2 linked regions of the Stegostoma tigrinum genome follow. The protein of the gene in region 1 binds, or shares a complex with, the protein of each later gene. Links are inferred from orthologs where the notes say so. Each region holds a gene or a part of one and is shown in the gene's direction. Other genes may lie near its edges.

What was found.
Region 2: the proteins of dkk1b (region 1) and kremen1 are in contact, whole or in part, in a crystal structure (PDB 5FWW), measured with the Homo sapiens proteins. The link is inferred for Stegostoma tigrinum from reciprocal best matches to the Homo sapiens genes DKK1 and KREMEN1. Residues at the interface, in NP_036374.1 of Homo sapiens: Cys189, Leu190, Arg191, Ser192, Ser193, Cys201, Arg203, Trp206, Ser207, Lys208, Lys222, His223, Arg224, Arg225, Lys226, Gly227, His229, Gly230, Leu231, His261; in XP_011528731.1 of Homo sapiens: Pro67, Asn88, Asp90, Asp92, Ser94, Trp96, Gly105, Val106, Tyr107, Trp108, Tyr110, Asp127, His128, Gly129, Pro132, Thr140, Asn142, Glu164, Ser165, Tyr167, Ala168, Phe170, Asn189, Val191, Phe193, His196, Asp203, Gly204.

Annotation. Positions count from the first base shown.
Region 1 is NC_081373.1:47,601,623-47,617,863, forward strand, and holds dkk1b (dickkopf-related protein 1b), read left to right. Parts: upstream 1-8,941; 5' UTR 8,942-9,125; coding exon 9,126-9,320; intron 9,321-10,300; coding exon 10,301-10,451; intron 10,452-11,219; coding exon 11,220-11,366; intron 11,367-11,508; coding exon 11,509-11,753; 3' UTR 11,754-12,133; downstream 12,134-16,241. UniProt on the Homo sapiens protein: Antagonizes canonical Wnt signaling by inhibiting LRP5/6 interaction with Wnt and by forming a ternary complex with the transmembrane protein KREMEN that promotes internalization of LRP5/6.
Region 2 is NC_081379.1:37,605,150-37,621,797, reverse strand, and holds the start of kremen1 (kremen protein 1), read left to right. Parts: upstream 1-8,722; 5' UTR 8,723-8,905; coding exon 8,906-8,987; intron 8,988-16,648. UniProt on the Homo sapiens protein: Receptor for Dickkopf proteins. Cooperates with DKK1/2 to inhibit Wnt/beta-catenin signaling by promoting the endocytosis of Wnt receptors LRP5 and LRP6.

The DNA of each region.
Region 1 (16,241 bases):
GATCCTCCTCAGCATCAGTTTATCTGCTGTTGAAACTTTAATACATGGTTTTGTTACTTTCTGAATGGCATTTTCAAACGCTGCACTCGTATCTTCCGTTCTCCTTGATTTTCAGTTGTTTCAAATTCTGCTGCCTTGATCCTAATTTTGGACTTGGTGGACCTTAGTTAAAATTTTTGTCCTCAAGATCAAATTCTTTGTAAGACCCTGCCCCTGGCCCATCTCTGTAACCTCCTCTGGCCCCTCCAAATTTCCCTCCTCTAGGTAAGACCATTAGCTTATTCCTACCATTCCCTGCTCCATAAGTGACTGTGCCTTCAACTTCATAAACCTAAACTCTGAAATTACTTCCCCAAAGCCTGCCATGTCCCTCCTTTAGCTTCATTTAAGAAACTGCTTACAACTTCTCTCCTTTAACAAGCATTTAGTCACTCATCTTAATGGCTGTTTCAATGGCTTAGGTGCCAACTTCTTTTGATGTCCTCCTGTGAAGTGCCTCAGATGGTTTATTGTGTCTTTAAAATAACAGTTCACTGGATAACTGTGGTCTGCTCTTGTTGGAACTACTCAAGTCATTTTTAAACTTTACTTCAAACATTTTGAGAAACAAGTGCTGCCTCATTAGCTTTTTGTCAAACTTAACTGTGAACAATTTGATGCAAATGTATGGAACTCCATTTCTCCAGTTTTCAAATTGATCACAAAATAGATAGTTGGCGTTTGTTTTCTGACTGACTACTTCCATACTCAAATAAGTGACCTTAATAAGTATTTCCATTTGTATAAGACCTTTCAAGTTAGTAAATATCGCAAGGCATTTTCACAGAAGTGTAAACAAACAAAACTTGGCTCGAAGCCACCTAAGGACAGGTTCAAAGCTAAAAATGTCATAGGAAACATCTTCATTATTATTGCCATTGCAGCAATAGAACTATATACAGTAGAACTAAGACAACAGAATGCACAATTTCTAGTTCTAAATGATTAAACTGAGAAGTTTATGAAATTGAATTGAATGAGGTCATAGATCTTAGAAGGTTATAGCACTGGAAGAAGTTGCAGAACTAGGGAGGCAATTTCAAAACCAGTTTGAAGGTTTTAAAATTGAGATTTGGAATGAGTGTACATCAGTTAACACAGGATAGAACATACTTTTGGATGAGGTCATATTTGTGGAGTGTGTAATTCAACTGAGTGTGGCAGTCAGAAGAACATTAAATTTGTTAGTTTATTGATACATTCATTTATGGGATGAGAGAAAGACTTTGTGCAGTCGCTAATCTTAATTGGTATTGCAGTGTTGAATAACTCCAACAACGCAGATATAATATTTGCACTGGTTAAGCTAATCGCCACCCCAGAGTGAACATCATGAGATAAACTAACCCTTGAACAATGAGGACACTACATGAAGATTAGAAGAGAACAATGGATCTGGCAGGCATTTTCTGTCCATTTTTAATTGTTCCTCGATAACAAAGTGTAGAGCTGGATGAGCAGGCCAAGCAGCATCTTAGGAGCACAAAAGTTGACGTTTCGGGCCTAGACTACTTTGTTATCTTGGATTCTCCAGCATCTGCAGTTCCCATTATCTCTCACTAATTGTTCCTCCACAGTTTGCGTTGAGCTGCTTTCTTGAACTGCAGTAGTATGTTAGAATTAAATTTAGGTTTATTGTCACATGTATTCACATGGGTGCTGTGAGAAGTTTACAGAGTTGCCACTTATGGCACAATCTTAGGTTAAAAGGTACTGAGGTACACGATTTTAGGGTTGTCTGGTGTAGGTGCACCCACAGTGCTGTTAGGGAGTGATCCAGATTGTATAAAAATTGTTCAATCTTCAGTGAACATCCTCACTGCTGACCTTATGATAGAAGACCATGGATGAAGCAACATGTATATCTGTTGTGAAAACACATGATTTTCCATTTATTTTGGAAATTTACTCTTACAGTTGTATCACTATAAGATAGTGCCCAGTGACTGTACTATTACAGTTCTTGGAAAAGAAATCTTAATCAAAGGCCGGGCTCATTCTACACTGGAGCATGGGAGTGGACATTTCCTGCAAATAGGGGCATTGCCACTCCACTAGTAGCACAAATCCCAGGCCAGGGACATGGGTTTGAATCCAACGCTGGGGAAATGGTGAAATCTGAATTCAGTTCAAAAAATAATCCAGAATAAAAAGAACAGACCATTTTCAATTCCTGTAAAAAAGACTGGTCCTTTAAGAAAATGAATTTGCCATCCTTACCTTATCTGCTTTACATGTGATTCCAGATCCATAGCAATGTAGTCGAGTCTTAACAGCCCTCTGGGCAATTAGGGATGGGTAATCCCTATATTAATTTTTTTTATTAGTTCATGGGAGGTGGGCATTGGCATTTATTGCCCTTTCCAGAGGGCACTTAAGAGTCAACCACAGTACTGTGGGTCTGGAGTCACATGTAGGCCAGATCAAGTAAGGATGGCAGATTCTTTCTTGAAAAGCAATTGGTGAACCAGATGGGTTTTTCTCAACAATTGACAATGATTTAATGGGCATCATTAGACTCTTAATTTCAAATTTTTATTGAATTCAAACTCCACCACCTACCATAGTGGGAATTGAAGCACAGTCTCGGGAATATTTCTTGCATCTCCGGAGTAACAGTGCAACAATAATGCCACTAGGCCATTGCAGCCCCTGAGCCAATGGCACCTACACCCTATGAATGAGTAAATAATAAAAATTACCTCCCAACCCAGACTCCTGCTAGAATTCCATTTGGCTTAACAGGAATGCAACTAAAGAAATCCATTGTTCAGGACAATTGCTTAGACAAGAGATTATTTTAACGGGGTGATGATTGCAAGCAGGAAGACCTTGTTTGAAAACCTAACCATGTGCTTACCAGTGATCACATGAGGCTTCTCAAAAAAGTATTATAAGAAACTCATAATGACTAATGTGACTTCCTTCTGTAAAAGGTCATCTACTCAGCTGACCTGCTTCTTTCATTAAACACGTATGATCTACTTTGTAATGGATCCTATTCCAACCTATGAAATTTCTTGAGGAAGACAAATCTTCATAATCTCTGGTCCCAATTACAACCTAAAATTCCAGAGCATTTATCCATCTCCAATTCCATTAATCATCTCAAAACAGACTAATAAACAGGCTTATTGAACCTATGCCGCTGCCACTGCACTCCCCCACCCGTAAACCAATTTTATTTAAGCATAATATCCAATGACATGATTTTGTTCTATTAATAATGTGATCTGTAAGCATTTTATAGACATTTGCATTCATGTTACGGTGCATCTAATGTTTTACAAGGATGGGACAATGGGAAGGGATCATGAGGGAAACTATTGCAAAATCTTTGAATCGTTTTGTACCCAGCTCTTAATTCAGCTCTGAAATGCTTTAGAATGTTGACGTCCCAAATGCTTGATGGACATGACAGTTGATGTAACTTGGCCAAAACTCCTATTCATATAAACAATTGGTAATATGGTGATAATCTATCTGGATTTTTATTATTTAATTTAAGCTGTCAATCCAATGCTTACTGCGAGAGTACTCCACTGCCAGAGGGACTGTTTCCTCCAAACCTGACATTAATCAAATTCCTATTTGCCAAGGACAGAAGGACCCATCAATAGGAACGAAACCAATAAAATATAATCTGGGGTCTTGAGTCACCATGCCTCTGTTCGCCAACCTTACTCAAAAGCAATAAGTTGTTCATTCCTTCCAATGCAGACTGTGACCTCTGATTGTGCCTGTTGCTAGTGTGGCCAGATCTGATTGAATATTGGCCAGTTCAGATTTGACCACATCAGCTCCTGTTCTGGTTTCACAATACCCGACATGAGGGAAGATTTATCCATTCACAAGCACAGTTCAAACAATATGGTGATGATTTACTAATGAATATATCATCCTCTTGTGGCCACTTTGGTGAAATCACAGAATCGCTACAGTGCAGAAAGAGGCCATTCAGTCAATCAGATCTGCACTGACACTCCAAACAGCACCCAGTCATATCTAGACTTCCACCCTCCCTATAACCCAACACTTACAATGGCAAACTCACAAGACACCTCATCTGCAGACACTACAAAGCAATTTAGTATGGTCAATTCACTGCACATCTTTGGACTGTGGGAGGAAACTGGAGTACCCAAAGGAAACACACACAGACACGGGAACAATGTGCAAACTCCACACAGACAGTTGCTCAAGGCTGGAATTGAACCCGGGTCCCCAGCTGAGCCACTGTGCTGACCCACGCTGAAGTGTCAGTCGTGATTATTTGTGCATGCTCGCAAAGAAAGGACAGTCAGGGCTGACTTTATCCTTATTGACATCGCTCTCAGTGTCAAGCAATATTATCTATCAGCCTCCCTGATCTGTGTCAGTATTAAACAGTCAAAATGCTCGTCAGGCCTGCAATGAAAAGTACTCATGTTGTTCACACTCTCTTACACATACACACACACACACACATACACACACACACACACACACACACACACATGCTCTCTCACATACACACACACACACACACACACTGTCTCACGCACATGCGCACACACTCTCACAGACACACGCACACATAAATACACACACACACAAACACACACTCTCTCTCACACACGCATCTCTCTTACACAGACACACACATACACACACACACACATTCATAACTGTTCACCATCTCAGTTTCTCTAACTGAAAGACATGTTAAATCTGGAATTGTCAAGTGAATGTGGTTTCACACTAAAATGTGCAGGACACTGAGCTGCACCCGTTCTGCACTGTTGTTGTGATATCCCTGTAGAGTCACTGAGACAAAGGCCATGTTGATGTGTTGGTACACTAGTACACGGGTTGGTGAGTCAGATGCCACGTCACAGTTTGAATTTCTGGCCTCTGCTGGTCACCACTGTAGCTGTTGCAGTCTCCTAATGTCTACTTATTTAGATCATGTATAGTGACTTCACCAGTTTGTCTATGAACGATTGGTAACATACAGAAGGCTGTCATTTCAAGTTCTACACTCTGGGATTTCAACATAACAATCAAGACTGAAGCTGCAGTGCAGTACTGAAGGAGTGCTGCCCATCTGCCCTCTCAGCTCGATGTAAAAGGTCCAGGTGTGTACTTTGAAGGATATAAGGGAAGTTAACCCCAGTATCCATACCAATGTTTATCAATAAAGATCACAAAAAATCAAATGATTTTGTTATGATTATGAAGGGACTGAACAGAATGGATAGACAAACGTTGTCCCCACTGATGGAAGGATTGAGAGCCAATTCGCAAAACACAAAGGTGCAGCAGACGGTGAAGAAGACAAATAGAATCAAAAACAGACGTTTCAGGAAAAGCTCAGCAGGTCTGGCAGAACCTGTAAAGAAAAGAAATCAGAGTTAACGTTTCGAGTCTGGTGTATCTTCCTCAGAACAGATAGTAGCAGGGAAAATGTTGGTTTATATAGAGAAATAGGGAAGGGGGGGGGAGTAGGGTAGGGAATAAACGATAGGAAAGAGCCTAAAGAGAGTCAGGAGCAGTTGGGTCATTGGATCATAATTCAACTGGTCTTCTCTTTCTTTGGGCTCTATTCATTGTTTCTCCCCTCCCTACCCCACTCCCTACCTTCTGCACATAAACTGACATTTTCCCAGCTACCATCATTTCTGAGGAAGGGTCACTGGACCCGAAACGTTAACTCTGATTTTTTTTCTTCACAGATGCTGCCAGACCTGCTGAGCTTTTCCAGCAACTTCTGTCTTTGTTACTGACATAGAGCATCCGTGGTTCTTTCAGTTTAAGGCAAATAGTACGTTGACCTTTGCAGCAAGAGGATTCAAATATAGGAGGAGGGATGTCTTGCAATTTTACAGGACCTTGGGAGACCACATCCATGAGATTAGATGCAGTTTTGGTCTCCTTTATCTGAGAAAGGATGTTCTGACTTTGGAGGGAGTACAACAAAGGTTCATGAAACTGATTTTTGGGATGGATCAGTCAGGACACAGCAAGAACTGCAGATGCTGGAAGTCAGAGTCAATACAGTGTGGAGCTGGAGGAACACAGTAGGTCAGGCAGCATCAGAGGGACAGCAATGTCAATGTTTTGGGTCAGGAACCTTTGTCAGGGCAGTCCTGCTCATGGTGAGTTGCATGGAGGGGAATGTAGTGTTGATACTGTCATATATCTGCTCCCCTTGTCCTTCTAGATAGAAGTGGTCCTAAGTTGGGAAGGTGCTGACGAAGGATCTTTGGAGAATTTCTGAAGTGCATCCTGTAGATAGTACACACTGCTGCTACTGAGCATTTGCTGTGGAGGGTATGGATGAGTGAACTGAGATAAGGAGAAATTTCTTCACCCAGAGTGGTGAGCCTGTGAAATTCTCTGCCACAGAAAGCAGTTGAGGCCAAAATATTGAACATTTTGCAGATGGAGTGAAATATGGTTCTTAGGGCCAAGGGATCAAAGATTATGGGGAGAAAACAGAAACTGAGGACTGAGTTGGATGATCAGCTATCATCATATTGAATAACAGAGCAGGCTCCCAATGGCTGTATGGTCTACTCCTGCTCCTATTTTCTGTATTTCTGAGCAATCGGTGATGAGAGAAGGTTAAGTTTGGGTGATACAGTGGTTAGCACTATTGCCTCACACTGCCAGGAACTTGGGCTTGATTCCACCCTTAGGTGACTATGTATGTGGAATTTGCACATTCTCCCTGTGTCTGCGTTGGGCTTCCTCCCACAGTCCAAAGTTGTGCAGGTTAGCGGATTGGCCATGCTAAATGCAGGGTTACAGGGATAGGGGTAGGGGCGTGGATCTGGGTGGAATGCTCTTTAGAGGGTAAGTGTGGACTCAATGGGCCGAATAGCCTGCTTACACTGGAATGTGCTGCCAAAGTAAACAGTGGAGGCTGGTTCCAGGGGAATGGTACCAGGTGCATGGCTATTTCAGCATGGGCCAAATGGCCTGCTTCCATGCTGTAACATCTCAGATAGTAACTTTACTGGAGACAGCTTGCTCTCTGCAAACTGGCTCCTGTGTTTCCTGCAGCAACAACACTTCAAATCCCATGAGATAAAAGGAACTGCAGATGCTGGAGAATCCGAGATAAAAAAAAGTATAGAGCTGGATGAACACAGCAGGCCGAGCAGCATCTTAGGAGCACCTCGATTGCGAGGACAACAGTTACCTGGATCTTTCTACCTCTTGTGCCAAAGAGTCTGCTTCATTGTAACCAGAAAGCTTCAGTTAAACAACACGAGGGAGAAAAAGAGCACATACACACACGCGAAAAGTATGTGGTTCCAAACTATTTTTCGCGACATCAACCAAAGCAAAACCTCATGGCCAAAAGAGGAGCCCCGAAACAGGTGCAGAAGGCGTTCCTCTGAGTTATTTCCATGTTTAATAATTTTTGCAAACATCGAACCTGCTGACAGCTCTTTAGCAATTTCAGAAGCGACGCCAATCAGTGCAGTGCGCCTGCTCGTTTCTGGTAGTTTTATCACTAAGTCAAAGAACACAATAGCAATTCAGAGAAAGCAGCTTAACCTTGTTTATTATTCAGTGCTGAGCGTTCTGTGTTTGCTTTGCTGTGCGGGACTGCGTGATAATTCACTGGGTAAACTCTTCTCTGTTCTGAGTCTCCACAAGCTCTTTGATCTGCCGAGTTTGTTTCATCAACTGGATTTCAAAGTTGGGCCCCCGTTCCAATCAAACGCTGTAAATGGAGCGAAAATGATCTGAATGTATTCGAATTCTTTTCTTTCCCAGCCAGACAGTGCAGGTACTAAAACTATCCGCGGCTCCAAATAAACAAAAAGCAGACGTGAAACTCATCGGATAAAGGATGAATATTGCGACAGGATGGGCTCCACGCCCATGACTTCTACAAGCAGCGGAAATCTGAGCGAGAAACTTTTCCTTTAAGCTCCGATTCGCCATCCCCACACATTTGGACCCAGGATTTTAAAAGACAATTAAAAAAGGATTCAGAATGCAAGTTAAATAAGCGGGAAGGGGGAATATGCAGACAGGAGGGGATAGAAAGGCCAAAGTTGGGGCGGGGGGGGGGGGTGGGGAGGAGATAAAAAGAAACGGGGATAGAGACAGAAAGCAAACTGAACAGAAATGCCCAGTGACAGAGAGACCAAACAAGGGGCGCGAAAGGCGGATTGAGGACTGAAAGGCAAACACAAACTTTATAGATAGAACCGCAAAACGCTAAATAGAAGCGTCGGGGAAAGGCAGCTAGAACTGCAGATGTAAAGGACAGAGACAATGAGATAGAGGGAAGGAAGGCACAGCGAGAGAGAAAGACAGAGGGAGAAAGAGGACGAGAGATGGATGGAGGCAGAGGAAGGGAGATGAGGCAGATAGAAGGGCAAAATGAGATGGGTACAGTGGAACACAGACATGAGGCACAGGATGCAGGAGATAGAGGGAAGATACAGAATAGGGAGACGGAGACAGCGAGAGGAAGCTGGTGAAAGAGGGGTAAAAAGGGAGGAATGTCGAGACAAGATAGGGCCAGAAATGGATACAGAGGGGAGAGTGGGCGAGATAAAGACAGGAAGATTCAGACAGGGAGGGAGATTAGAGACAGGGAGATAAAGATCGAGAGAGGTTTCAGAAAGGCGTCAAACCTCAATGTGGTGCCATCTTTCGGGAAATGATTAAAGAAGGTAACGGGAATGAGTGTTGATTGCGCCTTAGATATTGGGGGGAGGTGGGGGGGGGGGCTTGGTTTGACACACACGTAGGTTTGCAAATTCTCCGAGCAGCATGTGTTGAAATCCCAGCATGTCCTTTGTCACACATGGAGAGAGGGGGGCGGGAACACAGGCAGCAGGAGCTGCTATAAAACTGCTCAGGAAGCGGCTGCACTCAGGGAAATAAAGTTTCTGCAAGGTCAGTGAGTTAACCAGACAGCCAGCAGGCAAAACCTCCGCGCTTCTGGACAGAAGGATTTATCACTTAGCTGCTCCCACAGGTTTCTGTCAGGAGAGTGAAGGGCATCTCGAGTGGGCTGTTCATCTCCTCCTTGCATTCATCTGGCGGTGTCCTGGACCGGAGAGACCCTGCTGACCATGTATTTAAAGGCTGCTGGGGCTGGTAGACTGCTGCTCACCTTTTGTCTCTGCAACACCGTGAGCTCCTTCAATTCCAACGCCATTAAGACAGCCAGCGGTGCGGCGCTGAGTCCCAGCCACCCGGTCAGCGTCGCTCCCCAGGTTGTGGTCCGTCACAGTGTCAACAAAAACCACGCGGTCGAGCAATTCCAGGTCAGTGTCAAGCCAGCTAACCTCCAAGCACGCACCCAGCTGGCCACCCAGACAAAACAAAATGTAACATTGTTTCATCCAGAACGGTCAATATTTGCATTGAAATTACGAAGTTTTCCCTGTTTAAGATTTAACGTCAAATAACACGCCCAACTTTTTGATTGTTTCAGACCTGGATTCTGACACAACATTACCTGTTGCAAAATAAGATATTTCTGTGGGTTGGACGATGTGTTTTTGGAGACACTACTTTTTGTGTTAATGCACATAAACATGTCGCAGTAATTACACTATCGCGTAATTTGTGTTATAGGTAGGGTATAAGCATTGTCTGGTGAATGTATTGCAGGGTCTACCTCTCTGCATGTATATTACGGGGTACGTCTGTGTGTCCGTGTGTGCGCGCGCCAATGTTGCGGAGTATAAATGTGTGTGATCGTGTTGTGGGGTGTATCTGTGTGCCGCCGTTTCAGAGTATATTTGTGCGCGACAGTGTTTCAGGGTATATCTCTGTGTGTACCAGTGTTTCAGGGTATATATCTGTGCGGTGTGCCACTGTTTCAGGATATGTCTGCGCGTGCCAATGTTGCAGAGTATATATACGTGTGCGTGCGCCATTGATTCACGCTACATTTCCGTGTATGCCAAAGTTTCAGAGCATATGTGTTTCGAAATTTCAGGATATATTTGTTTGAGTCAATGTTTCAGGGTATATCCGTTTGTGTGTCAGTGTTTTAGGGTGTATTTGATTGTATGTCAGGGTGCGTTTGTGTGTGTCAGTGTTTCAGGGAGTATTTGTGTGTGTCAGGGTGTATGTGTATTAATGTTTCAGGGTGTATGTGTATTAATGTTTCAGGGTGTATTTGTGTGTGTGCCAGTCGTTCAGGGTCTGCCCGTGCGTGCCCTGATGTGTGCTTAGTGTTGCTGTGTTACACCGTGCCGGGGGGACACTAACTCAACTTTCTACTCCGTTTTTGCAGTTCTCCAGTTGTCTGAATGACCGGGACTGCGCTGTCGAGCAGTTCTGTTCTGCTTCCAGAACCGCTGCCCAGCATTGTCTGAACTGCCGCCGACGCCGAAAACGCTGTCTCCGAGATGCTATGTGCTGCCCGGGGACTCGCTGCAGCAACGGTGAGTGCGGGGAGAATGACGGCCAGAGTGGGAGAGAGAACGGAACAGGACGAGGGGAACGGGTTGGGAGAGGGAAGAGTGAGGGAGGCATTTCGTGGAAGGATAGTAAATGCGAGAGAAAAAAAAGTGCTGAAAACTTGCAGCTTTTCAATCGGGCTGTTGGTTTTCAGAGAAAAAAAGTACTTTATAGATAAAAATCTAAAAATTTTCAACATGGATATTGCAGAAACAGGAATAAAAATACAACTTGTCCGCATACATCCTGTCGATCCCGCTGCAGTCGGTCTTCTATTTGCAATATACATTCCACGTCAGGTATTACAACCGGAGGGCAACATGTTTCAAATAGGAAATTAGGGGAAAGTGCGAGACAACTAAACTTTTATATACACACCATGTTGCACAATGGTGCCTCGGTTAATTCAAAACAGCAGATCTGTTTTACCAGAGAGAAATAAGATCATGGACTGTGGAAGTTGCCAAGAGGCTAAACCGAGGTCGTCTAGTGGCCCCCTCACTTCCCACCCCTATCTCCTATCTCCTCTGGTTGAGTTTGCTTGGTCTCAGGGTCCCATAATCACTCCATCCCCAGAATTCATTGAACTCACTAATTGACTAATTTGAACTCCATTGGAATTTAAAGGAGTCAGGTTTAAGTTGCTCAAAAAGAAGTCAATGAACATTTCTGGGCCAACAGAGGGGGTTGTTGGTTCATAGTTTTCTCTTGGAGGGAGCAAACTGGATTTTGAGGTCTGGATTGTCTTGCAGGACTGTGCATGCCTGATGATATTGAACACACTCCTGGTGAAATTGAGGAGAGCATCCTGGACAGCTGGAACCATGAGGAGCATCAAACCACCTTGGACAGCCATTCAAGGAGGACAACCCTCCCTGCTCGGTCCCACCCAGTTAAAGGTAAGGGCTCAGATAAATTCAAAACAGGTCCAAAGTGTGTGCTTTGCACTGCAATCTTGAAAGTTTCTCACTGACTTTCTCTTTTCATCTCCGTGCGCCCCCCCCCCCCCCCCCCCCCCCCGGCCATCCTTTCCCATCTTAGGACAGGAAGGTGATGTTTGCCTCAGATCCTCTGACTGTGACCAAGGACTATGCTGTGCCCGACACTTTTGGTCCAAGATCTGCAAACCGGTGCTGAGGGAAGGTCAGGTGTGCACCAAACACAAGCGGAAAGGCTCCCGCGGCCTGGAGATCTTCCAGAGATGTGACTGCGCCCAGGGTTTGTCTTGTCGGATACAGAGGGGAGAGAATCACAGCAAGAATTCCAGGCTGCACACATGCCAGTGACCCTGAACCACTGTGGACAATGGTGAAAGGACTGACCCGAGACCTTTGGACATTGGGCTGGGGAGGAGGTTTGTTGGGAAGATGGGGGAGGGGTAGGAGAAGACTTCGGTTCAAGATCGGCCGACTAGCTGAGCCCCCCCTCTCAGGGGCTTTAGACTGGAAGCATGCTGGCATCCTTCAGAATTCGAAGTGTATCGGGCTTCTTTTGGTTCCCTTTTAAGGAACTATGTAGACTGTAATGCTTGCAGTAAATTACTGTGTTGTAAAAGATTCAGTCTGGCACTTATACTGTAAATACTTGACTGACCAGTATTGTGGAAAATGCTGCAAGGCCTTCCTCCCTGTTCAGCCAGTGTTGTAAATTGTTCTATATTATTGCTATCGAGTGTCTTGTGATATAAATTTTCTATATTTTAACTGAAATAAAAGTGTCACCAGTTACTACAGTCTCATTTGGGAGCTGTGATTGTTAATCATGGTGGTAACATAATTTAGATATTCTGTGTCGTTTTAAGATACACACTTATAGAGGGAGAAAGTTTACTTTGCAAAGCCACTCACACCAGCCTACAGCATTGCAAGCACTAGTTGATCTCCCTTGAACAAATTTATTGAAGGAATTTATTCAAGTAGATTTTTTAAGGACAGAAAAGTCAAGAATTATGGTAAGGTGTTCCAGGGTGAGTGGGTGAGAGTGGGGTTGCAGATATTGTTGAGATCAGCCATGACCTTCTGAAACAACGAATCAGATTTGGAAAACCTAAATGCATTATTCCTGCTTCTAAGTCCTATATTCCAACCTTTGGGTTATGGTTGGAAATAGTCAGTGTTACTTCCTGTATTCCCTTTGACATCTTACCAGCAGAGGTTGCACACTTTGTCAGTTTTTAGAAGCTGCTTCCACAAAATGTTTTGCCTGTTTACAATGGTGACTGTCCATTCAAACCTCCCAGTCTGATATCCAATTATTACCATTTTGTCTGAGCTTTTCCTCGTAGAAAGTAAGGAGCACAACATTAGCGGAGGCCTTTCGAATGACCTCGCGATTTTGTTTTACTCAAATGATGCAATATATATGTGAAATGTCCTTTGGCACAGGTCAACGGGACATCCAATTTATAACACTGCTCACTATTATCTGAAGTACCCAACACAACCAAGCAGAGTAATTTAACATAGGCATCAATCTTTAATTTGGCTAATTCACATCTCTGGGTTCCTGCAATGCTCATCCACTGACCTCTAGGCAATCTAGTCATCTATCAGTGAGACCCTGTAAACAAAACCTTCCAACAATCCAGTACACAGTCCCGCAACTAGCCACTACAGATCACAAGGGAATCACCGAAACAGAATAGAAGATAGGTTTCACACACCTGAAACAAAGAACAAAAGAGCAGTGCTGTGCCAGCTCTCTCAGCCAACATTCACACTTCGTAGATGGAATGAATACGCCTCAGTGGAATATTGTGCTGGCATTTGTCATTGGTGACAATGTAGCATTAAATGGCAGGTGATGATATTCGAAACGAGTAGGCAAGTGGCAACTCCTTTCTTTTGTTTCAAAATGAAGACATTGCCACAGCTTCCAAGAAGCTATCCCCTTCCTGCATAACATAGTGATGCCCATGGATTGGTCTTGTCCACTTTGAAATTACAAATTAATCCTCCAGAGATCATGAACAGTGCCCTAAATAAAAGGAGGTACACTTGACTCAGAGCCACAACAATCCCTGAAGAGATTTGATGCATCCTGATAAGGTAAAAGCCAGAAACAGTGGGGTAAGTGAATTGATGGTCTTTATCATAGCCAATTCAGTGTAAAAGGCATGGAAGAGTAGGCTTCACGGAGAGAAAAATGAAACCTGACAGCACTGATTGCATTGCAGTGAAGTTGCTCCGTTATGAAGAGCGCTAATTGGACTCAAAGTGTTAACTCTTCTTACTGTATGCTAGACCTGCAGAGTTTGTCCAGTAATTTCTGTTTTTGTTTCAGATTTCTGGCATCCACAGTTCTTTGTTTTACGTTACAATAAAGTTCCTGTTTTTTTCATGTTTAGGCAAGATGTAGAAAGAAGGCACATGGGTGTAGAATTTACAGCACATTTAACCCAATAGATAGGGTTAGCACTGCTGCCTCACAGCACCAGGTTCAGTTCCACCCTTGGGTGATTGTCTGTGTGGAGTTTTCAAATTCTCCTTGTATCTGTGTGGGTTTCCTCCTACAGTCCAAAGACGTGCAGGATAGGTGGATTGGCCATGCTAAATTTCCCACAGTGCCCAGGGATGTGCAGGCTAGGTGGATTAACCATGGAAAATGCAAGATTACTGGGACGGGTCTGAGTGGGATGTTCTCAGCGTGACAGTGTGCACTCAGTGGGCCAAATAGCCTGCTTCCACAGTAGGGGTTCTAAGAGTATGAAGAAATTGTTTCTATGAGATCCAAGTTTGCTTTCATGCTCCATAGGAGAAGCCTACATCACACCTTATTTACTCTATTAATGTGTTATAGAATTCTTATAGTGTGGAAACAGGCCATTCAGCCCAACAAGTCCACCCTGGCTCTCCAAAGAACATCCCACTCAGACCCATCCCCCTACCCTGTATTTCCTGTAGCTATTCCACCTAACCTACACAGCCCTGGACACTATGAGCAATTTAGCATGGCCAATCCACTTAACCTGCACATCTTTGGCCTGTGGGAGGAAACCAAACTACCTGGAGGAAACCAAACTACCTGGAGGAAACCCACACAGACACAGAGAGAATATACAAATCACACAGGCAGTCACCTGAGGGTGGAATTGAACCCAGGTCCCTGGCACTGTGAGGCGGAAATTTTGCTCACTAAGCCAACATGTTCTTCTATTAGAGAGATAGTAGGAGCTGCCGATGCTGGAGAATCTGAGATAACACGGTGTGAAGCTGGATGAACACAGCAGGCCGAGCAGCAGAGGAGCAGGAAAGCTTGACGTTTCGGGTCAGGACCCTTCTTCAGAAATTTCTGAAGGGTCCCGACCAAAAACGTCAAGCTTTCATGTTCTTCTATTAGTTTCTCTCTCATGCATGTATCCGCTTTCCCTTTCAGTATCAACGACTAAAAATTCATTTAGTAGTGAGTTACAAAGTAACAGAAGAGGTGGTAGTGGTGCGATGGATCAGGGGAGTGGTAATGTTCTGGGACACAGATTTGAATACCATTATGAGAGATGGTAAAATTCCAATTAAGTAAAATCTAGAATTTTAAACAAAGACTTTTCGAATGGAAACCATTATTAATTTTCATTAAAAAACTCCCATCTGGTTCAATAATGCCTTTTTGGGAGGAAAATTTTCCATCCTCACTTGGCCGAGCCTACATGTGACACTGGGCCCATAGCAGCATGTTTAAACTCTTAAGTGCCTTCTGCAATGGCTTAGAGAGCCAATTTGTGCAAAGACAATTTAAGGTGGGCAACAAATGCAGCAATTCTAATACACGATGCAAGAATTTTTGAAAAAATCGAAAGCAGATTTGCAAGAATGATCAGCCTCCCCCTGACCAAAAATGTTCATGAAATTACAGGCAGTTCACTGGGCTGCAGTGTAACTATTAACACTGTTTAATTCTGTTTAACTCTGGTCGGCCATTTTGTGTCTTTCAAACATGGTCTTTCAGCCCTTACAGTCACATACTATTCAGATTCAGGAAATGCTCAAATTCCCCGCTGGTTAACGAAGGCCCGTTATCCGTGACCAAAGCCTCTGGGAGTCTGCGTGTTGCAAAAGATGTGTGTACTTTTTCTATCGTCATGCCTGTGTTTGACAAATGAAGCCTGTGAATGTCCAGCCACTTTGAGTGGGCATCTACAATGACCAAGAACATTGGGCCCATGAAAGGACCTGTATAGTTGACATGTAACTGAGCCCAATGGTTACCTGGCTATTCCCACAAATATAGGGAGAGTTGTTGGCAGTAACTTTTGTCATTGGCAATCTTGGCACTGGCCCACCAATGTGCTTATGTCTGCATCCAATCCTCGCCACTAGACCTAACTTCTTGTCAACTCTTCATTTGCTCCCCAACATAATATGCCATCCTGTGCTGTGATCTGGTCTCTTCAGATCCAAAAAGGTTTCAATTCTGGTTGTGAAATGTGAGGCTGGATGAACACAGCAGGCCCAGACACATCTCAGGAGCACAAAAGCTGACGTTTCGGGCCTAGACCCTTCATCAGAGAGGGGGATGGAGTGAGGGTTCTGGAATAAATAGGGAGAGAGGGGGAGGCGGACCGAAGATGGAGAGAAAAGAAGATAGGTGGAGAGGAGAGTATGGGTGGGGAGGTAGGGAGGGGATAGGTCAGTCCAGGGAAGACGGACAGGTCAAGGAGGTAGGATGAGGTTAGTAGGTAGGAGATGGAGGTGCGGCTTGGGGTGGGAGGAAGGGATGGGTGAGAGGAAGAACAGGTGAGGGAGGCAGAGACAGGTTGGACTGGTTTTAGGATGCAG
Region 2 (16,648 bases), on another chromosome or scaffold:
GACTATGTGCATGCCCTCAATCTGATCTGAAAGCTTTCTGTCCTTACTTGCATTCCAATGCTGCATGACTATGATTCTTACCCAACTAGTACCCCATGCCTCTGTCAAAGCAAAACAGCCTAAAGTCATATCTGCTCTCTTCCTGACCCAATTATAGTTGAAACTTTGCATTGGAACTGACCCTTGGCTGCTCTCTTTCAGGGCATGTCCTCCTCAACTGTTTCAGAGAAAGGCAGCACACGAAATAGACAGGAAAAAATGGCAAATATGGACAGGGAGAGAAGTGTACAGGAGCAAAGGAAAGAGGAAATAACCAGTTATACAAACATAGAGGCAGAAACAGAAATTCAAAGAGATCAGAACCCACATAAAATTACTTGCTCTGACTCACTGCCAGTAATGCCCCCACATTAATGAATGGAAGGGAGGGCAAAGCCAACCGTTCATATAGTCTCAAAGTACAATAACATATTCATTCCCCTGGTTTGGAAAGTTTAAATAAACAAATTGAGCAATAGCAGTTCGCAAACCTCTAGATTTGAATTTGCAGAAACTAAGCTAAGAGATTGGAAGCATAACAGTCCATGAATACTTGTGATGCGTAGCATTGTAAAACAAAGCTTAGTCAATGTCAAAATAATAAAATGTGAGGCTGGATGAACACAGCAGGCCCAGCAGCATCTCAGGAGCACAAAAGCTGACGTTTCGGGCCTAGACCCTTCATCAGAGAGGGGGATGGGGAGAGGGAACTGGAATAAATAGGGAGAGAGGGGGAGGCAGACCGAAGATGGAGAGTAAAGAAGATAGGTGGAGAGGGTGTAGGTGGGGAGGTAGGGAGGGGATAGGTCAGTCCAGGGAAGACGGACAGGTCAAGGAGGTGGGATGAGGTTAGTAGGTAGCTGGGGGTGCGGCTTGGGGTGGGAGGAAGGGATGGGTGAGAGGAAGAACCGGTTAGGGAGGCAGAGACAGGTTGGACTGGTTTTGGGATGCAGTGGGTGGGGGGTAAGAGCTGGGCTGGTTGTGTGGTGCAGTGGGGGGAGGGGACGAACTGGGCTGGTTTAGGGATGCAGTAGGGGAAGGGGAGATTTTGAAACTGGTGAAGTCCACATTGATACCATATGGCTGCAGGGTTCCCAGGCGGAATATGAGTTGCTGTTCCTGCAACCTTCGGGTGGCATCATTGTGGCAGTGCAGGAGGCCCATGATGGACATGTCATCTAGAGAATGGGAGGGGGAGTGGAAATGGTTTGCGACTGGGAGGTGCAGTTGTTTGTTGCGAACTGAGCGGAGGTGTTCTGCAAAGCGGTCCCCAAGCCTCCGCTTGGTTTCCCCAATGTAGAGGAAGCCGCACCGGGTACAGTGGATGCAGTATACCACATTGGCAGAGGTGCAGGTGAACCTCTGCTTAATGTGGAATGTCATCTTGGGGCCTGGGATAGGGGTGAGGGAGGAGGTGTGGGGACAAGTGTAGCATTTCCTGCGGTTGCAGGGGAAGGTGCCGGGTGTGGTGGGGTTGGAGGGCAGTGTGGAGCGAACAAGGGAGTCACGGAGAGAGTGGTCTCTCCGGAAAGGAGACAGGGGAGGGGATGGAAAAATGTCTTGGGTGGTGCGGTCGGATTGTAAATGGCGGAAGTGTCGGAGGATGATGCGTTGTATCCGGAGGTTGGTAGGGTGGTGTGTGAGAACGAGGGGGATCCTCTTAGGGCGGTTGTGGCGGGGGCGGGGTGTGAGGGATGTGTTGCGGGAAGTACGGGAGACGCGGTCAAGGGCATTCTCGATCACTGTGGGGGGAAAGTTGCGGTCCTTAAAGAACTTGGACATCTGGGATGTGCGGGAGTGGAATGTCTTATCGTGGGAGCAGATGCGGCGGAGGCGGAGGAATTGGGAATAGGGGATGAAATTTTTGCAGGAGGGTGGGTGGGAGGAGGTGTATTCTAGGTAGCTGTGGGAGTCGGTGGCTCACTTCCCACTTCCTACAGACTAAGGGGGTGGCCATGGGCACCCGCATGGGCCCCAGCTATGCCTGCCTCTTTGTAGGTTACGTGGAACAGTCCCTCTTCCGCACCTACACAGGCCCCAAACCCCACCTCTTCCTCCGGTACATTGATGACTGTATCGGCGCCGCCTCTTGCTCCCCAGAGGAGCTTGAACAGTTCATCCACTTCACCAACACCTTCCACCCCAACCTTCAGTTCACCTGGGCCATCTCCAGCACATTCCTCACCTTCCTGGACCTCTCAGTCTCCATCTCAGGCAACCAGCTTGTAACTGATGTCCATTTCAAGCCCACCGACTCCCACAGCTACCTAGAATACACCTCCTCCCACCCACCCTCCTGCAAAAATTCCATCCCCTATTCCCAATTCCTCCGCCTCCGCCGCATCTGCTCCCACGATAAGACATTCCACTCCCGCACATCCCAGATGTCCAAGTTCTTTAAGGACCGCAACTTTCCCCCCACAGTGATCGAGAACGCCCTTGACCGCGTCTCCCGTATTTCCCGCAACACATCCCTCACACTCCGCCCCCACCACAGCCGCCCTAAGAGGATCCCCCTCGTTCTCACACATCACCCTACCAACCTCCGGATACAACGCATCATCCTCCGACACTTCCGCCATTTACAATCCGACCCCACCACCCAAGACATTTTTCCATCCCCTCCCCTGTCTGCTTTCCGGAGAGACCACTCTCTCCGTGACTCCCTTGTTCGCTCCACACTGCCCTCTAACCCCACCACACCCGGCACTTTCCCCTGCAACCGCAGGAAATGCTACACTTGTCCCCACACCTCCTCCCTCACCCCTATCCCAGGCCCCAAGATGACATTCCACATTAAGCAGAGGTTCACCTGCACCTCTGCCAATGTGGTATACTGCATCCACTGTACCCGGTGCGGCTTCCTCTACATTGGGGAAACCAAGCGGAGGCTTGGGGACCGCTTTGCAGAACACCTCCGCTCAGTTCGCAACAAACAACTGCACCTCCCAGTCGCAAACCATTTCCACTCCCCCTCCCATTCTCTAGATGACATGTCCATCATGGGCCTCCTGCACTGCCACAATGATGCCACCCGAAGGTTGCAGGAACAGCAACTCATATTCCGCCTGGGAACCCTGCAGCCATATGGTATCAATGTGGACTTCACCAGTTTCAAAATCTCCCCTTCCCCTACTGCATCCCTAAACCAGCCCAGTTCGTCCCCTCCCCCCACTGCACCACACAACCAGCCCAGCTCTTACCCCCCACCCACTGCATCCCAAAACCAGTCCAACCTGTCTCTGCCTCCCTAACCGGTTCTTCCTCTCACCCATCCCTTCCTCCCACCCCAAGCCGCACCCCCAGCTACCTACTAACCTCATCCCACCTCCTTGACCTGTCCGTCTTCCCTGGACTGACCTATCCCCTCCCTACCTCCCCACCTACACCCTCTCCACCTATCTTCTTTACTCTCCATCTTCGGTCCGCCTCCCCCTCTCTCCCTATTTATTCCAGTTCGCTCTCCCCATCCCCCTCTCTGATGAAGGGTCTAGGCCCGAAACATCAGCTTTTGTGCTCCTGAGATGCTGCTGGGCCTGCTGTGTTCATCCAGCCTCACATTTTATTATCTTGGAATTCTCCAGCATCTGCAGTTCCCATTATCTCTTAGTCAATGTCACATTTGTGTGAATAGAAGGGAGGTGGTGTTGGATTTGCTGAAAGGTAAAGTATTCATTGTTGAGAAATGACAAGACTCCTGTTAATGTGAATGCAACTGAACTTGTTGTAAGTGGATGAGAGACATAACATGATGCTGATGCAAAGGCTCGTGAATTAAATTTGTGGTTCTAAACATGTGCCTGAAGAATGAGGAAAGATAATGATAATTTAAGTAGGAATAATGGCGAAGTAATCAGCAGCGTTGATTTATCCTGCTCCTCCACCAGCTTTCCTATGCTGCTAGGCATATGTTAGTTAGGATCAGGAGTAGGTCATTTGGCCCTTTGAACTTGGACTACGATTCAGCACTATCATGGCTAATCAGACTACTCCACTTTTCCATCTACCCCTGAGAGCACTTCACTCCCTTCCCGAGTAACAATCTATCTAAATCTGCCTTAAAAATATTCAAAAACTTTATTTCAACTTCGTTTTGAGCAAGTGGGTTCCAAAGGCTTATGACCCTCTGTCAGCAAAATCTCCTTATCTCTGGCTGTAAATGGATAATCCATTACTTATAAACATAGATCCTGCCTCCACGATTCTGCAACAAGTGCAAACAAATATCCACCTGTCAAACCTCCTCAAGATCTAATACATTTCAATTGCGTCACCTCTTACTGTTTTAAATCCCAGCAGATAGAAGCCCAGCCTGTGTAACCGTTCCTTCTGAAATATTTTCACCATTAATATTGATATATAAAGCTGTGGTACTAAACATACCTTGAAAATTTAGGGCTTGTTCAGTCATATGCATTTATTGTGTATATATAATCATATAAATATATTCTTCATACCATGTTAAGGGTTAATTTCTGTTGTCAACCTCTCTGGCCCTGAAATATTTCTTCCAGAAAGTGTGGATCTCATTGATTTTAAATGAGATTTCTTGTTTGACATTTCAACTAAATTAGAATTCAAACTTCTACAATTTTTCTATCTCTTTTAGCAACATCACTCTCAATTTCATCTTTATGTTGTTTTGTACATAATTTATGATTGAATTAACTTTTCTAACATGTACAGCTTATATATAAAATAGATTTAGATTCTGTTCTAAAAGTTCGATTCCCTCAGTTTTTGGGTGCTAGGGCCAGAACTCCTGATTGGTTGTGCCTGTTTAGATTAAATTGAGCAGCACACTAGATTTGGTCTACCTGTCTTAAATGGCTGTATTATCTGACTGAGCAGGTCCCATACTGCTCACTTTTTCTCAATATTGCCAATTGCCTCTGTACTTACAAGAGCGTCAAGTACCATTGTTCACTATGATGTGGTATAGCTGGGCCCTGCCTTTCTTAAAGGTACACCGCACTGCAGAATATTGCTACAATTTAAGTAATGGAAATGTGAACACAGTGGTAAAGGGAAGGACTGAGGGAGATTAATGTACCACAAGAGGCATCGGAGATGGAGGTGAGCAGGAGAAGAGATGCCATGAGTCCAAATGGGACTTTCCTCGAAAGGGCATGGGAAAAGGTAGCCGTGGATGTCAATTCCTGGAGCCGAGACCTAAGGATCCAGGGCCACACCAAGTTTGATGATTTTGGGTGTGTGGCCAAAGTCAGTCAAATTCTTGCCAAATGATACCTGTGCTCCACCATACCACCAACCTCTCACACAGTGCAGTGCACACAATTCCCATCATTCAACCTTTACCAATTCTTGGCAATCAGGATCCACACCTCACTTTCAGATATCCCCTTAACTCGCCAGTTGGTTTCAAACGCACCTCCTAGTGCCTCGACATGTGTAGCTAGTCAGCTATAGGAGAAAAATCATCCAAACAAAGTGTGACACAATTGCTGATGTTCTGCCTTTCCCTCTGCAGACAGTTATAGAATCATGGAATCCTCTACAGTATGGAAACAGGCTATTCAACCTGTGAAGTCCACACAGGCCACCCGAACAGTATCCCACCTGGACCCACCCTCTTATCCTATCCCTGTAACCCTGCATTTTCCCATGGCTAAGCCACCTAGCCTGAATATCCCTGGACACTATGAGAAATTTAGCATGGCCAATCCACTTAACCTGCACATCTTTGGACAGTGGGAAGAAACTAGAGCACCCAGAGGGAACCCACACAAACATGGGGAGAATGCGCAACGCCACTCAGTTGCCCGAGGGTGGAGTTGAACCTGGGTACCTGGCACTTTGAGGCAGCAGTGCTAACCACTGAGCCACCATACTGCCCCAATAATTGGACCTATTATTGAGAGGAGCAGAGCAAAACTGGTTGGGATCATGGGTTACCTGCAACTCCTGACACTTGCAGAGAAGATGGTTTCCTGTATCAGTGGGGCTGGCTGAAATGGAGAGAGGGTATAGACTGATGCCATATTCCTGTATAATGCTACTTCTCAGCTCAGAGCTCACCCTTATCCTGACATCTGGCATGATGAGAAGCTGCAGGTGGAATCAGCATGGATTGTTTTCTTCCTGCTCCCCTTCCCTCACATCGATCTGCTTGGTGCTCATAAAATCTGGGCTTCAGTTAATCCTTGAGAAAGGGAGACAAAAGGAAATGGAACCATTAGAGGGGAATTATCTGGCTGAGTAAACATGGAACAATCACAATCAGACACCACTGAGGAGAATGGTGCAGAACTGACACTGAAGGAAGAAAAAGCTGGTTTTAGGCAGAAGGACATAAATTACAGCAACTGTGGCAGATTTTGGAGAGAGGTACAGGGTACAACATCTATTGTTACACCAATCTCTTATATTTTAAATCAGCATTCAATAGCATACAGCGAGAAGGGATATGTCATGTCTTCAGGATGCGAGGTGTTCCTGAGAAAGTGTCAGACTGATAGCAAACCAGTGTGACACTGCCTCATTAGAATGCACAGGAAGCCACCAGAATGGTTTAGATCAGCAGTTGTTGGGGTGAGACAAGGATACACACCACTGCCTAATTTATTTAACCTTGCACCGGGAAAACTTATGAATCTTACCCGAAATAGTGATGTTCGAGGAATCTCCCTAACTGGCAAGATTTTAAACAATCTCAGATTTGCTAATGGGATTATGCCTAGAATAACATTGTCAACAGATTCACACTGAAAAAGAAATAGAGGGGCTGAATGTGTATAGTAAATAGATTTCAGATTAAGGGGGCAAAAGACATAACTTTTGGAAGGCATTAGGTAAATGAACAGATGGAAAGGCTTGTGTTTCTGGGTGGGTTAGTGCCAGAGAACGGGAGTTGCAAAGAAGTTAGAAGGATTTGACTTGCTTCTGCTGTTTTTGGAAGATTAAGGAGGACATGGAAACCTACATATATATGGGGTAAACATAGGTAAGAGAAAGTGATAGTTATCTCCATATTATCATCTGGGCCTGGTGGCTGAAACTTGTGAAAAGTTGACAAGATTAAGGTATTAGAAGTAGGTGATACATTTGCTGAGCTAAATGCTGGGAAGTTCAGGATTCCAAGTTGAGAATTTTATAACAATAACATAGCTCATACAGAAGGTCCAAGAAAGATGAATGATTGTTTTGGCAGGTTTCCAAGAACAGAACGAGTTGAATCATCTTTCTAGAGTTACACGGAACAAAAAATGAGGGAGGCCACGGACATACAATGCCAACACTGGCTTGTCACACCATGGGGTATGGTTGGCCAGGAGAGTTCATCATGGAGTGAATTCATTCAGCTCATTGCGATTACTAAACTGATAGACTGGAATTTGGATCTAAGAGGCTGGCAACTGTGAAGGAAACTAAGCAACTTTTGACTGAAAGAATAGCAGATTTCCCCATGCGTTAGAATACCAAACCATCTGAACATTGTGAATCGTAGGATCCTCCTGACTTCTTTATGTGGACTTGTGCTGGATCAAGGGGAGGGGGAGTTAGAGGCGCTTGACTTCACAGTTTCAGATACAAGTCCTGACAAGCCTTGCCCCAGAGAGCTCAGGGATAATGGACAGTATGAACACCCTCCCCTGAGGTGAATTTGGATGTAGGGGGCATTGAATAGGGAATGAGGGTGAGGGTGGGGTTCCCTTTCTTGCCACTGCCCCAGTTAAGTCTGAGTAGGGATGTTTTGTGGACTGCTTGCCTACTCCAACGTTAATGGAGCATTTTAAATGGGTAATTAATGGCCATCAGTGGCATTGAGCCAGCTGTAGGTGGTGCATTTGCCACACCATATTCCTGACACAGCCACGGCCTGTTGTGTTAGCTTATGAGTGCCAGGGAGGTGGGGGGGGGGGGGGGGGGGGGCGAGGGGTCACTGGCTGTTAGGAACTTGGTGCTTGTCCAAGGGACCCCACCTCAGACAGGGGGAGGGGGCCAGTGGCAATTAAATCCCCTGCCTTTTCCCCTGACTGACACCCATCAGCGACCCTCACACAGCTGAGCCCTCACTCCTTGGCTAATCCTGGGCCTTAGGGGATGCATGCCTGGCGCTGATGTCAATGAGAGCCTCTGACTGCCCATTGGAGTGCTGCATTGCTGCGGGTACAAACCTTCAGAGAGGTCAAACCCGGGTTCTGTCTCTCCCTCTCAGGTGAAGACATTTTCTCCAGTACCTTGGGCAAAAAAAATCTTCCACGCAACGCTTGCCAGTGACAGGCGATTTACAATTTATTTATTACATTGTCTGTTCGGAGAGCCTTGCTGAGTGCAAGTTAGTGACTACAGTCCCTAACATGACACTTCAAAAATGTATTTCACACACACTGAGACATCCCAATGTGAAGCTACGTGCTCACAGTAACTTTTTCATCGGGGAAGGCTGGCTGTGACAGCAGTTGTTTGGAAGTTCGGTTACTTTCCTTGTTAATTGCTCTGCACGGGAGAAAATCCGATGAGAACGGGGAATAATCGTTCGGGAGAGCTCCTTGCGAGGGCAGCCTGCTGGCAGGTGCAGACAGCTTGTGGCTAAACAGTCCTTTTGGAGCAGGTTTAAAGCCAAGCTTCCTGTCACATGCTCGGAGTAATTTGATCTCTCTGTGTGTGTGTTTCTCCCTCCCACTCCTCAGGCTCTTTTTTAGGTGTTGCTGTAGTTAGAGATCAGAGACGCGGCACTAACCAAGCAAACTGACTTACCCACTTTGGAGTTGCCGATTTGCCGACTCCCTTCCTCCTCTCTGCCACCGGCTTCTTCCTCATCGTTCCCCCAGCCCCGGATAGCCTGTCCTTACGGCACTGCCTCTCTGTGTCCCCTCTCTCTGTCTCTGCAGCCGGCTCCGTGATGGGTTCTGGGCTGGAAGCGCTAGCCCTGTGCATGGCATTCGGCTTCTTGTTCACTCTCGGATGGGCAGAGTTGAACACCGGTGAGTCACTTTACTTCACTTTCCCGATGGGTACAGCATGTAAGCGGAGCAGGCTGGGGCCAGGGTTAACAGGTAACTGTGTGTGTGTGTGTGTGTGTGTGTGTGGTGGCGGTCAGTTGCTCATCTCTGACTCTCCCTCTGACAGCCCAGTTTCTTCTAGCACAGCTCCCATTCCCACCTCCTCCGTCTGGGAGAAACAGTGAGTAGGACAGACTGCATTGTTCATAGCGAGAGAGAGAGAGATCGTGGGTTGGAGAAAGAGGGAGATAGGTAGGTGGAGGAGACCGAGAGAAAGGCAAGGCTCCGGATCGATCACTGTCAACTTGGCTTCCAACTTTGTAAAGGTAGTGGGTGTCCTGCGATCTTTTGGTTTGTACTTACCCAGACGGCGTTAGGCTGGGAGTCACATTCAGGGGTAGATGGGGAGCGAGATGAATGGCTGCCTTTGTCCTTGAATATGTCAAAAAAAACATTATATCGATAGAAGCTCTTCAGCTGAATGTGAAGATGGATAAGTATCGATACGGATCAAAAAATACATGGACAAATATTTAGATAAATGGCTCAGTATATAGTAATGACTGATAAATCTATGAAGTAGACAGTTAAGTGTGTGGCCGACTTGAGAAGTCATCTTTAATGGGTCTCTGTATATTAATATATACAACAAACGGAGAGACTGTTGCAGAGGCACGTAGCCGGGCACACAGTAATGGGCAGTGCTGGGTTACTGGGTACATTGCTGTGTATTGTGAAGAGGGGGCTATCCAGACTGACAAACCTATCAGTGTCCAGCGTTAAGTTTCACAGCCATCCCTTTCGGACGCTGCAGCGATGTGTCCGATTTAAAGCTGGTCAGATACAGGATCCGAGGCACTTGACAGAGATTCCCCTGAACTCCATATCCCAGCCAGTCCCGGGTCAGCTGGGCCGGGGCGGGTGGGAGGAGGAACACTGTGGAGTCTAAATCTCATGCCGGTTTTCAAAGGGGGATCAGAGCTTCTGCACATGCGACTGAAGCTCAGCGAAGCCCTGGGTTTTATTGTGACCCCTCATTAACGGCGCAGTCTGCAGCCCCAGGCTTCCGACTCGTTCGTGGTAAGTTGCTTTCTGTCTGTCTCGGCTTATTGCGAGCCGGCGGTGAACGAACCGCTCTCAGTATGTCACACACCATCTGGGGTGGTGAGCTGAGCCGGGCTAAATTTGCAGCTCCCCGACGCGCTGCTTTCTGAGCACAGTCTGTTTGCATTGTTTGGAAAGATTTGCAGGACTCTGTAAATCTACACTCCATTCTGTATCACAACATTTACACTAATCCCCCCACCCCACTCCCAACAAATACCACCACTTCTTACAACAGAGTTCCATCTGTCCATCATCTATTTTCATGTACAGAGCAGATCTATTTGAAAAGAAATAGTCACTGGAGGACAGTGAGTAGAAGGAAGGGCGATAGACCGATTGGTCTCCCGTGTTGTACAGTTCATCGATGCGGAATCGTTTCGTAAATATAAACGGAAAGGTCCCTTCCTTTCTCCTTGTGTTCCACTGCCTGGATGAGGTTGCATAGGACTGGTCCGTGCTTAAACCTCCAAGTATCCAACCCCCCGGACTGCGTTACTCTGGCTTTTCCGCCAGATGTGAGCACCCGCACGGAGTGGGGACTTTTGGGAAAGCAGGCTGTAGTTCTCCAGCAGGGGTCTGGTGATCCCGGCCGGGGATGCGCGTGCGAGTTGCAAAGGATCCAGCGCAGCGGCGATGCCTCGTGCAGTCAAATAGCCGAGTGGCAGGCCATTCTCCCGACGCTCACAGGAACCACTCAGCTTTAGGATCCGGCCGCCGTTGACATCAGTGAGACGTCCCCGCAAGAACTCAGGCCTTGGGAATAGGAAGGGAAGGTTACTGCATCATTAGAGAGAAAACAGAATAACTGCTTCGAGACGGTGTTGTAATTCAGACTTGTTTCTCAAATGTAAGGAAGGATCAAAAACTCTACAGAATCACTGAGGACGCTTCAAGACCAGTCAAAACTGAAGGGTCACTGGACTCAATGTTAACTCTTGTTTTCTTTGCACAGATATTGTCAGAACTGCTGAGTTTCTCCAGCAATTTCAGTTTTTGATGAAAGTAACATTAGGGGCTATTAGTAATCCTGGAGGTGGCTTACTTCAAAATGACAGCTTCGAACTAACACCAGCAAAAAGCAAAATCGAGATTCTCAAATTACCACGGTGAATTTTAAATTGAAGTTTCTTGAATTACTAGTGTGGCTCTTGGATTACTGGCCAAGTTACTTAATCACTACATTACTATCACCAGATTAATTATCATGACACTGTCACTTCAAGAAATGATTAGCACTTAATTGAGGACAGGCCAGTGTGGCTATGGAAGTCATGCCATCTCCCCACTCAGCAAACAAGGCACATCTTTCCAGCTCCAGGCCTGGAATCAGGTAAGTTTATTACCTTCAAATGTCCATCCGATTTATTTCCAAAATTATTGACTGCCTTCATTTCCACCAGCCTCTGGGCAGTGGGAGCAAAGTCACACATCACCTCGTACTTCCCCCTGCATCTCTCCCTGGAAATGCATGCCTCTTACTCCTTGTTGTTACAGCTAATAGCTAAGTTTGTCTTTACTATGGCGTCCAAATCTGTCTACCTCAATCAAATCTCTGTCTCCTTTTGCTCCAAGGCTTTTCCGATCTCACCTTGTGACACACAAACCCCCAATCCTGAAACCATTCTGATAAACCTCCTCTGCGCACTCTTCAGGACCCACACATCTTTTAACGAGAACAATTAGTTTAAAGTATTATACATAAAGAACATAAATACCAATTCTACTTTGGAACCTTCTATTAGTAATACTTTAAATAATTATATTTTACTCCAAACCACACTGTGGCTTTATACTTAGGTGCTAATCATTTCTTGAAGTGACAGTGTCATGATAATTAATCTGGTGATAGTAATGTAGTGATTAAGTAACTTGGCCAGTAATCCAAGAGCCACACTAGTAATTCAAGAAACTTCAATTTAAAATTCACCGTGGTTATTTGAGAATCTCAATTTTGCTTTTTGCTGGTGTTAGTTAGAAGCTGTCATTTTGAAGTAAGCCACCACCCAGGATCACTAATAGCTCCTAATGTTACTTTCATCAAAAACTGAAATTGCTGGAGAAACTCAGCAGCTCTGACAATATCTGTGCAGAGAAAATGAGTTAACATTTCAAGTCCAGTGACCCTTCAGTTTTGACTGGCCTTGAAATTTTAACTCTGCTTCCTTGCCACAGACCCTGCTGAGTTTGTCCAGCAGTTTCTGGTTGTGTTTGAAATCTTCAGCATCTGTAGTTCCCTGCTTAATTTTAGGGACACTATCTAGTCTGATTTATCTGTGACTGTATTCCCATACGCATGACTGGCGCTAACTTACCATTAGTGAGCCACTCTTACATTAAATTAATACTGGTGAATTACAGAGATCCAGCAATTCATTCTCAAACAAACGAGTTGGACAGTAAAGCAGACTTTCTAGCAATGCCCCCTCCCTGAAATGCTCTTTGATATGAACACCAATTTTGCTTCTGTGCAGCTGCAGTTGGCTTCTGTTCTGACAAGCACTGCTGGCATCGCAATCAGAATCAATGTTGAGTAAAAGCACCTCATCAAACACTGAGAGGGAATGAAACAAACAGACACCTGGAGAGATTTCAAGGCAGTAATCTAATCTCACAACTTCAGATCATGATTATAAACTGCTCAAGCTTTGCTCGTGAAATCTGTCATGTCAGTATACCCTTCAATTAGACTAGTGCCGTGTAATCCTTTCCAGATAGCCATTATTTCTACAAACTGAATGCTTAAATAAAAAGGGATGAGTTATTGTTCATTCAACTCTCATTCCGTACCATTGATCCTATAGAAATAATGGTTCAGTGCCAGAATAATCTTGTCAAATGTCTTCAGTTCCCACCATGCAAGATTTGCTCTCTGTCAGGAGACTGGTAAGAATTGTGAACCATATGAAATATGAGGCCCAATTATGAAAAGAGTGATCTCTCTCTCCAGTAATATTTGAGTTTAGATGATGAGTGTCTTGCCATTACCAATGTCCAAATATAGCTGCTGTTACACAGGCAGATAGACCAACTATTCTTTGGATGTGTATTCCCCAAGAAATGGAGGCGTTTAATCCACGATATTGTTAAGGGAAAGATTTTTAGCCAGGGCAACAGGGGGAGCCTCTTGGGATCTTTAATGTTTATTTGATTAAGCAAACTGTGCACAGTCCAACATCTCATTTAAAGAATGTTACGAGGCAAAAACTCCAGTAGTTTTGCATTAAATATCACCCTTGCTTATGTCTTCAGTTTCCTATGAACTGAAACCGTGGATTTCAACCTCAAACCTTCAGCCATCTGAATGAAAACTGAGAGGTGGTCATAAAAATAAGTCCATCATTGTAAGGTTTAGAAGCATTTTTAAGCTTGTACTGTACCCTTCCCATTCAAATACCATTTCGAAAGCCTTATAAAACACTTGCAGCCATCTCTTATTCCCTATGTAATGCATATTTACTTACTGTGTAACATACTGACTTAAGGCATGATGTTTACCTATATCACCTTGTGTAACATTGTTTTGCCTATGAATCTGCAGCTCAGTAAAATTTGCTTTTTCCTGGCTGGTTCCTGGGTTTGAATCCACATCAGGCAAGGAGAATAAAAGTTTTCTTTACAGCAGTATGTGAAATTAGTGGGTTTATTGGTGAAGTGGGCATAGGCCCACTGAAAAATAGCTCCCCTCTGTTTGCCTCAATGATCATCCCTGTAACCTGATTTGTGATGGGGTTTTGAGATCATTTACTGAAAGCTTGAGATGACCTGAAAGAAAATCCTTATTAGTCTATCGCAAAATCCACCGGCCAAGGATTAGAGGAGACCCAATTTAATTTGAAAGATAGAATTAGCGATCTGATTCATGAAATGGATGCATAAAATGCTGTGATGCTTCTTGCTTAATGCAGAGGCAGGTTTGTGAAGTGAGTTACACTAAATTATTTCCAAGCACTTTGCAGTTTCGTTTTAAGTCAACTTCTAAACAACCATACTGAATGATGACAGTCAATTTTTGCACTGCAAGGACATGGGTGTGTGGACTCTGTTTGAAAAGCCCCCATATCCTCTACCTCCTGTTAATATACCCCATGTGGAAAAAGTTCTTGCCCCTTCTCCACCCATTATAAACCCCACATGGAACTGGTGCTCAGTCCTCAGTCAGCCATTATACTTTCCTTGTGAAACCTGCACTTGCTCCTCTAACCTGTTTTTGAGCAGTGATTTGGAGTATAATCCAGGTGACCAAAACAATGTAGAGAAGACTCTATTTCTAAATCTTTGTTTACAATGATTTAAAAGATCTCAGAGCTTAAAGAATTTCAAAACACTTTTTTTGTGCTGGATCCCAGATCCTTTCTGAAACCTTTCCCCTGTGGTGTTGATACTTGTCTCAATAGTTCCAGACAAGTTTAAGCAATCAAGCAAGTATACAAGGATCAATTGTCTCATCAACACAGATGAAACAAACTATTAAACACTTTGCATTATTTCAGTTCACCTAAGCTGCAGCTCAGACTTCAGCTTAACATTGTACTGTTAAGATAGCATCTAGAACAATTATCTTGGTCTAGTTTGAAATGTCAAAATGTGCACTCTAAATTTGACTTGAATGTATGATCTTTTGAAGTTTAAACTGCTGGTTGAACAAATCTGCAACTTGTGCATCACAATTGACTACAACTTCTCATTACTACAACCAAAAACAGAATCATAGAATGATTATAGCACATGAGAGGTTTATTTGGCCTAGTGTGTACATGTTGACTTTCTGCAAGAACAACTCAGCCAACCCTGTCTCTCAGCGTTTTCCCCACAGGCCTGCATTTATCTCCCATTAGAATTTTCCTCCACCATTCAGCATATGCATTTTAGATCCTGACCACAGATATGTCATAGAATCCCTACAGTGCAAATAGAAGCTATTCAGCCTATAGTGTCTATACCGACTCTCCAAACAGCATCTCACCCACGTCAACTCCACACTATGTCCCCATAATCACACATTTACTGTGGCTAATCCATTTAGCCTGCACATCTTTGCATTGTGAGAGGAAACCAGGGCACCCGGAGGAAACTCATGCAGACACAGGGAGAACGTGCAAACTCCACACAGACAGTGAGGCAGCAATACTAACTACTGTGCCACCTGCTACTGTAAAGAGGTTTTTGTTGTTATGCTGTTGATTCTTTTGCCAATCACCTTAAATCAGTTTTTCCTCTGATTCTGATCCTCAATCTTCTACCAACAAAACAGCTGATGTGTCTCTGTTTAGTCAGTCCATACACTTCATAAACAATCCTCTTAAACTTGTTGTTTTCCAAGGAGATCAACCCAACTTCTCTGTTCCAGCCACAAAGCTGAAGTTCCTCACTCAGAAACCTGTCTCATGATTTTCTTTCTCATTGTTTCTAATGACTTCATATCCTTTCTCAACTATGGTACTGGAAACTGGACACTATTTCCAGTTGAAGACAAACCAATACAGGTTAATTGTGACCACTTTTCTATTTTATTCTGTGGCCTTGTTTATAAAACCCAGGAATGTCCATGTATTATTAATCCCTTTCAATGCACCCCTGACATTACTAAGTTTTTATGTATTTATACCTCCAGGTCACTCTGCTCCTGTATCCTGTTTAGAGTTGTAACCTTTCAGACACATAGCTTCTCCCTACCTTGCTCTTGCTACCAAAATGATAGTTTGCACAACTCTGCATGAAGTGCCATCAGCCACATGTCTGCAGATTGCACTAACCTGTCTGTGTACTTTTGAAATTGAACACTATTGACTTCGCCATTTACAATGAGCACCTGTGTTCATAATGCTTCCAGTTTTTGTGACATCCACAAATTTTGAAATTTGCCCTATGCATGCTAGACTGGTCATTAATATACATCAAAAAAGTAGCGGTTGCTAACACTGAACTTTGCAGAGTTCTCAACATAAACCTTCGGTCAGTTGAAAAATCCACACCCTGTGTCCTTCCCTCGACCAATTTCATATACCCCCTCTCTTTAATTCCATAAGTTCTAACCTTCGTTTGCAAGCCAGGCCTATGGAACTTTAACAAATACCTTTTTGAAAGTTCATTAACCATGTTACCAACATAATTCACCCTGTTACCTTCACAAAAAGCTCAAACCAGTTTGTTAAACATGATTTGCCTGAAACAAATCCATTCCAGTTTTTCCTAACTAACCATATTTGACCAAGTAACTATTTGTTTTGCCCTGAATGATCATTTCTGAAAGCTTCCCCCACCTCTGAAGTTAGACCAAGTGGCCTGTCGTTGCTGCGTCTATTCTCATTGCCCTTGTTTAAAAATAAGATTGTAACCTTTGCCATTCTGAAGCCTTTTGGCACCACCATGCTATCTGATTAGGATTGGAAAATTTTAGCCAGTCCTTCCATAATTTCCACCCATATTTCCTTCTGTATCCTCAGATACATACCATTAATCCTGATGCCTAATCAACTTTAAGTACAGCCAGCCCTGCTTCCCTGTTCTCAATTTTAAGCCCATCAAATGTCTTAGCT